Linked DNA regions of Drosophila melanogaster. The protein of the gene in region 2 interacts with the protein of the main gene of each other region in a pairwise test. Each region holds a gene or a part of one and is shown on either strand. Other genes may lie near its edges. The genes, in order: CG2120 and CG2218.

Evidence for each region.
Region 1: the proteins of CG2218 (region 2) and CG2120 interact in a two-hybrid assay, tested with the Drosophila melanogaster proteins (one large-scale study listed by BioGRID).

Annotation. Positions count from the first base shown.
Region 1 is NC_004354.4:8,133,679-8,137,661, forward strand, and holds CG2120 (uncharacterized protein), read left to right. Parts: upstream 1-2,145; 5' UTR 2,146-2,193; coding exon 2,194-2,388; intron 2,389-2,456; coding exon 2,457-3,209; 3' UTR 3,210-3,368; downstream 3,369-3,983. Other genes in the region: CG10958 (uncharacterized protein), read left to right, coding at 1-1,065.
Region 2 is NT_033777.3:30,424,873-30,430,153, forward strand, and holds CG2218 (uncharacterized protein), read right to left. Parts: upstream 3,405-5,281; 5' UTR 2,969-3,404; coding exon 2,264-2,968; intron 1,943-2,263; coding exon 1,187-1,942; 3' UTR 555-1,186; downstream 1-554. Other genes in the region: CG15536 (uncharacterized protein), read right to left, coding at 1-265; CG15533 (uncharacterized protein), read left to right, coding at 3,970-5,006, 5,211-5,281.

The DNA.
Region 1 (3,983 bases), on a different chromosome or scaffold from region 2:
TCCTCGGACATCTACAAGCTGCACTCCAACATCAACGATATGGAGTCGAAGGCGCATCAGGCGAGGCTGAACAATCGCGAAAAGTTCGATCGCATCTGGGAGATCAACTACAAGGAACTGAACCTGCTGGTGGATCGGGTCTACCACATCGATCGCATCATACACGAGCAGCAGTTGGCCATGCCGTGGTCCAGCCCCGTGCCACCCATTCCAAACATCAACAAGGCGAAGAAAAAGCGCAATAACATTCTGGAGAAGTTTGACATGCGAATTGGCCGGGTTCCCAAGAACAGGGTGATGCCCAACTCGGGCGTAAATTGCAAGCCGGATATCAAGGAGCTTCCGCCGGATTCACTACGCTTGATGCGTAATCTTATTCGCAAGCTGTCCGATCGCGGCGGTTTCCTCATCGAGGAGCGTCTGCTAAAGATTCTTGAACCGTATTCCGAGGAGGAAAAATGCCTGGTACGCATCGACAATATATTTGCGGCGCTGCGAATTCGTCATCTGCGGGATGTCAAGGAACTGACCAAGGTTTTCATGCCGTACACCTACTGTCCGAATTGCCAGCCGCAGGGATTGAGTCCACGCAAGTGTGCCGAGGTGTTCATGAAGGATCAAAAGCCAAATCGGCTGCAGGGCGCGGCGGGTGGCCAACCGGATGAAAAGGAGCATAGGTCGACAGGGGATACATTTCTACCCAAGAGCGAGGTGGCGGCCAAGAGATGTCACAATCACTATCTGGTCATGGAACCGGCCCTCTGCCTGCACGCCATGAATCTGTTCACCTCCAAGATGCACAAAAAGATGTACGAACACGAACCGGGTAGCATTCTCAATGCGGTAAATCTCATTCAGATTACAGATGCGGAGATCCGTAATTTCTGGCGCCAGTTCTCGGCCTGCTTCCCGGCCTCCAAGTGCAAGCTGTGGAAGACACTGGAGCACGGACTGAATCACTACGTTGAGGTGCTCAAGATGCGTGTGCAGTACGATGCGGAAGTCGTCTTTCTGCGTCGCCAAAACGAAGAGTTGCGCCATCTGCTGCAAAAGTTCACCGTCTAGGTGCGATATTATTCAATTACAGCCTCAACCGCAATGCACATACATAATCCCAAGCAATTATTGTCCGATTTCACTGCAAACATGATAAATTATAATTGTGCCTAGGTCTTGCTCTTTGACATTGACATCGAAATAGTTTAGAGACGTGGGGTCCCTGCACGGGCGCCATCTGAAAAAGCTTGTTTCATTCAAGAGTCGTGCAATAAAAGTATATTTTGAACATGAAAACCTTGTGATTTTAAATATTTAAAATAATGGAACCCCTCAAAGTTAAATATTACTACGTCTATAGCTCAGTTTGTCCCGCTCTAAACTATGAACAGCTCTCTGATATCATTATTAGTGCCTAGCATGAAAAGAGCTCTTTGATAACATTTGTGAGGGGTTTCCCCTTGAGTCCTTAAATTAATCTTAATACCATATCTTTGAGATAAATATGACTTGTATTTGCTTCATAAACTTAAAGTACCCATCCATCCCCTTTAGAAATATTCCCAATGCCGTCCATGCCGCTCTCTGGTCCACCAAACTGTCGATCTCAGATGTTTGATTTGCTTTTCATTTCATTTCGAACTTTGAGTCCGTGGGAACTAGTTGGCGTTAGATGATCTCTACGACGGGGAATACCTTCGATCGCTTACCTCCCACAGCTACCATTTCACTACTGGAAGCCAAACGATTAGAACTTGTTGCACTTGTGTCTTATGTGTCTTATCAGGGCAAACCGATAAAGTTGAGCGGTAGACAAGAAAATGGTTATACTACATATATATGAAACCACATATTTAGGGTAGTCCACGAAAGGGATCGTCCAATTGGCTCAAAGTGCGCACCGCCAGCGTTTAAAGTGCAGACCGGGCTAATCATTCATTTATGGGCAAACTTTATGGACGACATTTCGATAAAATAATAATACAAGAGCAACCGCAACAGCTTGTTCTATTGAATTTCATGGCAAGCAACTACAACTGCGACCTGTAATAATATACTACATAATTAAACACGGCGTAATCTTATCGACGCTCGTTCGGACTCCATTGGCATTGCCGTCTATTTTCCTGCGGTAGCGGAAGTCTTGATCGTCAGTTGGCCAAACAACAGCAGTCCGAACGGAAGCGGAGGACCATCATGCGATCCATAGATCCCGTATCCCAAATGGCAAACGCCACTTTGGCGGACGACGATCTGGGTAACTATGACGTTTGCCTCGAGGATTTGCAACTGTTTGCCCAACTGGAGGATCTCTCCGGAGAAAGATTGCCAATGGAGATGGAGCTGCTGAATCCGGGCTCGGAATACGATCTATTGGAACTTGTGAATGGGGTGAGTTGACGGTCCAAATGGTAAATTGCACACTATTAATGAATCCATAATCAATCTCCTTCATTCAGGCTCTCCAGCAGCGAAACACCACGGAACATAAGCCAACAGACATGTGCAAGCCCAAGCGGACACCAACCACTAAACGCCACCGAACAACTGGCAAGGATCACACCTGCGACATATGCGACAGAAGATTCTCGGAAGCCTACAATCTGCGCATCCACAAGATGACGCACACGGACGAGAAGCCGCATGTGTGCGTGGAGTGCGGCAAGGGATTCCGGCAACTGAACAAGCTACGCATCCATGCAGTGACCCACACGGCGGAGCGGCCACACAAATGTGATATCTGCGGCAAGGGTTTCCGGTATGCCAACTACCTAACTGTCCATCGACGCTTGCATACGGGAGAGAAACCATATCCATGTTTGGCCACCGACTGTCATCTCTCCTTTCATTCCATCCACGCGCGGCGCATTCACACAAAGCTAAGGCATGCGGCACAAACGGATCCGGATCCCGAACATCCGCTGGCGGAGCAAGAGCAACGGGATACATCTGCGCTCAGCTTCACCTGCCCGGTTTGCAGCCGGGTCCTAACGGATCAGTGCTATCTTAGCATCCACCTGAAGCGGCACTACAATCAGCGCGACTTCCCATGCCCACAGCCGGAGTGCGGCAAGAGATTCTTTAGTGCCTCGGAGCTGAAGCACCACCAGATTGCCCACACCCAGCAGCGACCATTTGCCTGTCCACTCTGTCCAGCACGATTTCTGCGCAAATCCAATCATAAGCAACACCTCAAGGTGCACGAGCGTTGACAGCTCGAGAGCACTTTGATTATGTTAGTATACGGTACGATTTCCCTGTCCATTCGAATCGAATTCCAGGCGAATCCGAGACTCGCCCCACCCTAAGCTGCCCCCCGGAAGGGGGCTTGGTCTGCGCTTTCCATTCAATATAAGTGTTTATTTATATATACGATTCTGTTTGTCTTTATCTGCATGCTTGCATATTAGATATATGTATATATTTGTATTTATACTTTATAAAGTTACGGGTACGGGGTTGCTGGTTCTCTGTGGTTGTGTCCTCGGAGGACTGTTGACTGTTGCTGTTGCATGTTCGCCTGCATTGCTTTGTTTCGTTTAGGCATAACTTAAGGATTACATTACATTATTTGCGGGCTTAGCCGGAAATACGAAAACAATTGTTTGATTAAAAACAGTGATTAGAGCCAATTAACAAAACACAATCTCGTTCGCGGTCGTTTATTCGATTGATTGACAATCAGGACTAAGTGTCTTAGCACTAAACTGCACACGTGAGAAACTTAAAAGCAACAAAGGGGGCAAACAATAGACAAAACTTAAATTAAAGTTTCGCCGGAACCAGAGGACAAGTGCGCTAGGCAACACTGCCCGCCACGCACCATTCACTGCCCAACACTGGCCAGGCGGTACAGTTATTTTTGGTCGTAACAGCGAAGCAATGGGCAAAAAAAAACAAAAGAATTAAAAGAATCAGCAAATATTGACGTAAAAACAATTTGAACTTGAACTTAAACTGGATTTGGGCTCTTTAAACGTTAAGAT
Region 2 (5,281 bases):
GTTCCTCGTCCTTAATTCCGTGGGCCGCAGCAAACTCTAGCTTCTTCTTGGACAAGCCTGTCCTGCTTTTGGACAATCCTATCCTGCGAGAGCTCAGCGATAAAGGCGGTGCCCGCGGAGTCTCCTGTTCACTACATTTTGGTGTATTTGCAGCGGAATCGTCTCTCTGAAGTCTTATTAAGGGCGTTGACTGGCAACCACGCCTACTCAATCCGAGTCGGGGTCTCCGTCCGGATTGAGGCGTGTTATTTGCCTCACCAGGCATTAAAAATTAGAAAAAACGTACTAACCAAAAGGATTTTGAAATATCGCAGAACAGATGTGTAATCAGCTGTTCTCTTCGATATCGATAACACGCGAAAGGAGTAGTACTAAGAGAGTGACAGTAGAGGGCGCCACAAAGGAATGTAGGTTACCATGAAGAGAATGTAAATTATTATGTAAAAAATAACAAATTAGATTTTTTTGATATATAACGTAAAAAATAATTCTTAAGTGAGAAATGTAAACATATTAAAAACCACTATTTTGTTTTATTTATATTTATTGAGAGTAGTGATAAAAAAATACACATTGCATAAAATTATGCACAATTATTTCCGATTCAAAATTAACAATAACCGGTACAAATAAAGCAATTACAACTAAAACTAATTTAAAATTTTAAGCTTTTCGACAATTTCAACTTAACAGAAACACATTTTGTTTAAACGAGTTTAAAAAACGCAATGAATGCCAAACTGTGGAATATATCGCTACTACTCTCCATTGATTACACATTGGACTTAGGTTTTATTGTACTTTATTCTAGGTAGAATTGGTATGAATATATAAACTCGCGCTGAACGATCCTGTCTTTCGGGGACTGTATATAAAGTGTCTACAAAAACTAGGCGCGCACTCTCTATTGCTAATCGGTAATCCGTAATCTGCTCTATGACTAAACGTGACCTGATACTGATACATACTGCCGAATCGGGAGGGACTCGCGCGTGTACACATTTGGCTTAACTGCGATTTTGCGATTCTGCGACCAGACCGACTCTGATATGACTATAAACTAACGTAGACGAGGCCTAGGGGCTAAAGCGATTGACTGGCTTACAAACTGAACCGGATGGGGAGAACCAAACTCATTGCGGCAATCGACGGAAGGCGGTCGATTGGGAGATGTACGGGGAAGCTCTTAAGGATCCAGCTTGTGGTAGCGCTCGACGTCGGCGCAGCGGAAGAATACTTTGCACACGCACTGCTGATCCTGCGAGAGGAGCACCAGGCACTCCCGGCAGACCAGATGTCGGCAGGTGCGGATTTCGTAGCCGAACTGCGCACTCCGGCAGTTGATGCAGCTGGCGGGCGGAGCACTTGAGGATCCCGAGCCTGCGCTGGAGTTCGATGGCAATTGGCTAAAGCGCGTCACCTTCTGCAGCGCCTGTTGAATGGCCTGATCGATGGAGGTTGTGGCCGAGGTCACCGTGGCACAGGCGCTACCGTGTTGGCTGTGCCTTGCTCTTTTGGCCGCCGGCGGCGAGTGCGGAGATCCGCCGAAGGATGCCGCCGATGAGGATGTGGCCGTGGCAGTGGCCCTGCTCTTCCGCTGCTGCTGCTTGTAGGCGTTGCTCAGTGCCGAATAGGTTCCGGCAGCCGGACTAATCTGTCCCGGCTGACAGGTGCTGCTGGCGAACTGCGAGGCGTGACGACGACGCTGGCGAGAGGTGCCCAGCGAACGGGGCACCGCCTTGAAGTGCTCCGAATTCTCCATGAGGAACTTCTCGATGCGCGCTTTTAGGGCCAGGTGGAGAATCGCCTTGCGTTGCGCATTGAACTCCAGGCCTGTAAACGGATCCGAGGGCTGGCGACCCCACTTGGCCTCCTCCTCGGCGTGCTTGTCGATGGTGGACTGGTCCACCACTTTTCCAGATGGCAGCACGGTGGGGAAGATCTGAAGAGGCAATGGGAGAATTGATAAGGAGAGCTACAAAGTAAACAGTTCACAGAGCATCCTATTATCTTTATATTTAAGTGTTGTTGCGTTTCGGACATTATAATGCAATTCTCATTATGAAGAAAATGAATTCTTTACATGACTTCCGATATTTACCTTGTTTGGTTTTGATAAAGACATGATAATTGATTCATAAAGATTATAAAGAATTATGAATAATAAAACCGTGCAAAACGATTGATTTCATGAATTGACATGGGTATGTATTCAGTTGTACTACTACTTAAACATAAAAAGCTAGGATTTTCTGATATTTACCATTAGCTCCCAGGTGATGGAGTCGAGGAACTCTTCAGGAATAGAGAGGGTCGACTGGTCCCTGAGCTCTGGAACATTCCGCGGTGGTGATCTCTGCCCGGTGGGCGTTTGGGCCGCGTCCCTCTGGCCGTAGGGATCGCTTATCTCGCTCCAGATGGTCTTGACCAGCTCGCGATCGGCTTTGTCCAGCGAACGAGCGGGCAGTCCCCACATCTGAACTTTCCTCAGCACTGGAGGACACCTTTCCGTGGCCCGGATCACCACCTTGACGCTGTTTGTGCTGGCAAGGATCTTGTGGGCGGACTTGAAGAAGAACACCTTCTCGCTCTGCTCCGAGTTGGAGCTGCTCCGTGAGTTGTAGTCGCTCTGGTAGCAGAAGGTCACCGAGTCCACGCCACGCCCCAGATCGCGTACGAAGGCAACCCTTTCCCAGATACCATCGTGTCGTCCATGCAGCTCGAAGGCAGTGGATCGTAGGGCTCCGCAGGAGGGCCACAGCTTGATGACCTTCATGTCCACCGCCTTGGGGAAGTCGAATACGATCTCTATGGGCGGCTTGCAGACGGCGAAGCACATGAATCCACGCTCCAGCTGCTCGACGTCGTCGGCCACCAGATTGGCCGCAGTGTAGCCATCCTCGCAGACGGCATCGGTCTCTACGGAGGGCTTAAGCTTTGGGTTGAGGAAGTTGATCAGACTGCTCATCCTGGCTGCCCACTGTGCTATACTCTCGGCTGCTGTTATGTGGCTCTTCACGGCGTATATCTACTCTGTGCCCCACCTGCTCTTTATTCGCAATGAAAATGGCGTCACTTCTCGGGAATCTTTTGTTGTTGCGTCTGCCTGCGGAGGCTGCTAATCCTGCCTGGTAATCCCCTGCTAATCCCGCACTGGGTGCGCTCCTGCTCTCAGCCGATCCTGAACACTCACAGCCTGGCCTGGACTTCGGCTGGCATCTCACAACGCTGCTTCAATTGCAATTATCGCCCTGCCTCTTCGAATATTTATAAATCACTCGCTTGTGCAGTGTGACCATGCCCGGGCGGTAGTGGTGGTGCGACCAGTCAGATGGACTTCGCTCAGTACTCGCGTACGGTAACACCTATTCGCTTGGGCGGCAAAAATTGAATGAGTTAAAATATTTGTTTCAACGTATAATGCAAGCCTTTTCGAAATCTGTTTCGTTTCGAATGAAACAATGAAAAACACGATTGCTATGGTTGAGTTATATTCATTTACATTTTGAAAAAGTGTATACTTAATTTGATTTCTTGTTCAATAAGCAAAAACGATCTCAAGAACTTTGTTTATCATTTATACTTAAATTAGCAAAGCAGATATGATAAGGTTCATCAGTTTACACTATAGGCTCTGGCTTCTTTGAATCATAAAGTATCTAGTTAAAAAGGGAAAGTTATATCGAAATATGTAATATGACTTATTAATTGCCTATTTGTGGTGAATGGTCAAAAATGGTAATTTTTGCGATATGATTATTTAGAAATCTGCCCCACCGGAGGCAGATTGTGGCCACTTCTCATGCCAAAAATATAATCATATAAAAGTTCTACTATTCGAGATTAGGCTAATCTCTGCCATGAATGCGTTTTCCGGCCTGGTTAATGGGGTGGCCATTGGCTGAGAGATAACCGAAAGCTATAAATGGCCCCACACGTGGAAACTATGCTCCAGTTGCTCTGCGAACCATGAAAGCAATCGGAATCCTGCTGGCGATCGCCTTGACCTCCGGGTTCCTGGTGGTCTCCGCCGTAAACTTGCCGGGAGTGCCCGTGGACTTCGACCTGGACGACCACATCCTGTCCGCCATTGCAGACGACATAGCCGAGCGTCTGGCCAGGGAGTACATCACCTTCCTGAAGACCGGAGTGGAGACGGCGGAGTTCTTGAAGCTCACCAATCAGCTGGCCAAGTCGCACAGTGAGAAGGATATATTCACCAGGAACATGCCCGATCTAGAGCCCAGGGATAGCTTCTTTGCGTGCGTGGCCTGTCGCTCGGTGACGCGGGTTTTGATTCGCACCATTCGCGAGGAGGACGGCGAGCTCCACGGGGAGAATAGCTCCGTTCTGATGAAGGAATTCGCTATGGACGTGTGCCGCCGCTTGAATCTGCAAACGGAGGAGGTCTGCGAGGGATTGATCGATTCCAACCTGCCCTCCGTGGAGTACATCATGAGGAACTCCGAGAGTGATTCCCAGAGCTTCTGCTCCTTGTTCATGGAGTTTAACTTCTGTAACACCGGTACAAATCAAGATTACAATTGGACCTTGACTATAGACAATACTGGAGAGGCTTCGGCTGGCCCCAAGTCGGACACTCCCACCTTTCAGGACTCGGACATCAGGATCTGCCAGTTCTCCGACATTCACCATGATCCCTACTACACCCCCGGCAGCCTGGCCACTTGTGCGGAACCCATGTGCTGTCAGAGGAACAAGGAGACCACCGAGGGTACGTCGGATGCAGCTGGATACTGGGGCGACTACCGGGACTGCGATCTGCCTTGGCACGCCTTCGAGTCAGCCTTGGACAACGCGGTGGCCAACTCCAAGTGCGACTTCATTTACCAGACTGGCGACATAGTGGACCACATGGTGTGGGCCACTTCCGTGGAGAAGAACACCATGGTGCTGACCAAGGTCAGTGAGCGGCTAAACGCGGCCTTCGGAGATGTACCCGTATATCCCTGCATCGGAAACCACGAGCCTCATCCACTCAACCTGTAAGTAGGGGATCCTTAAAATCTAAATTTTGATATTTATAAATTGCATGAATTGGGATTCCTAATCTCAGATTATCCCGGATGTATAAGTGGACTAATAATCCTTATCTTTATTTTCGCATTGCATAGCACCCGATAATTTATTATGTTTTCAACTATTTTCAATTCATTCGCTTATCTATTTCGACTATTGGACTATTGCAGCTTCAGTCCCGAGGGCGTTCCAGATGAGATCAGCACCAAGTGGCTCTATGAGCACCTGTACAACGATTGGT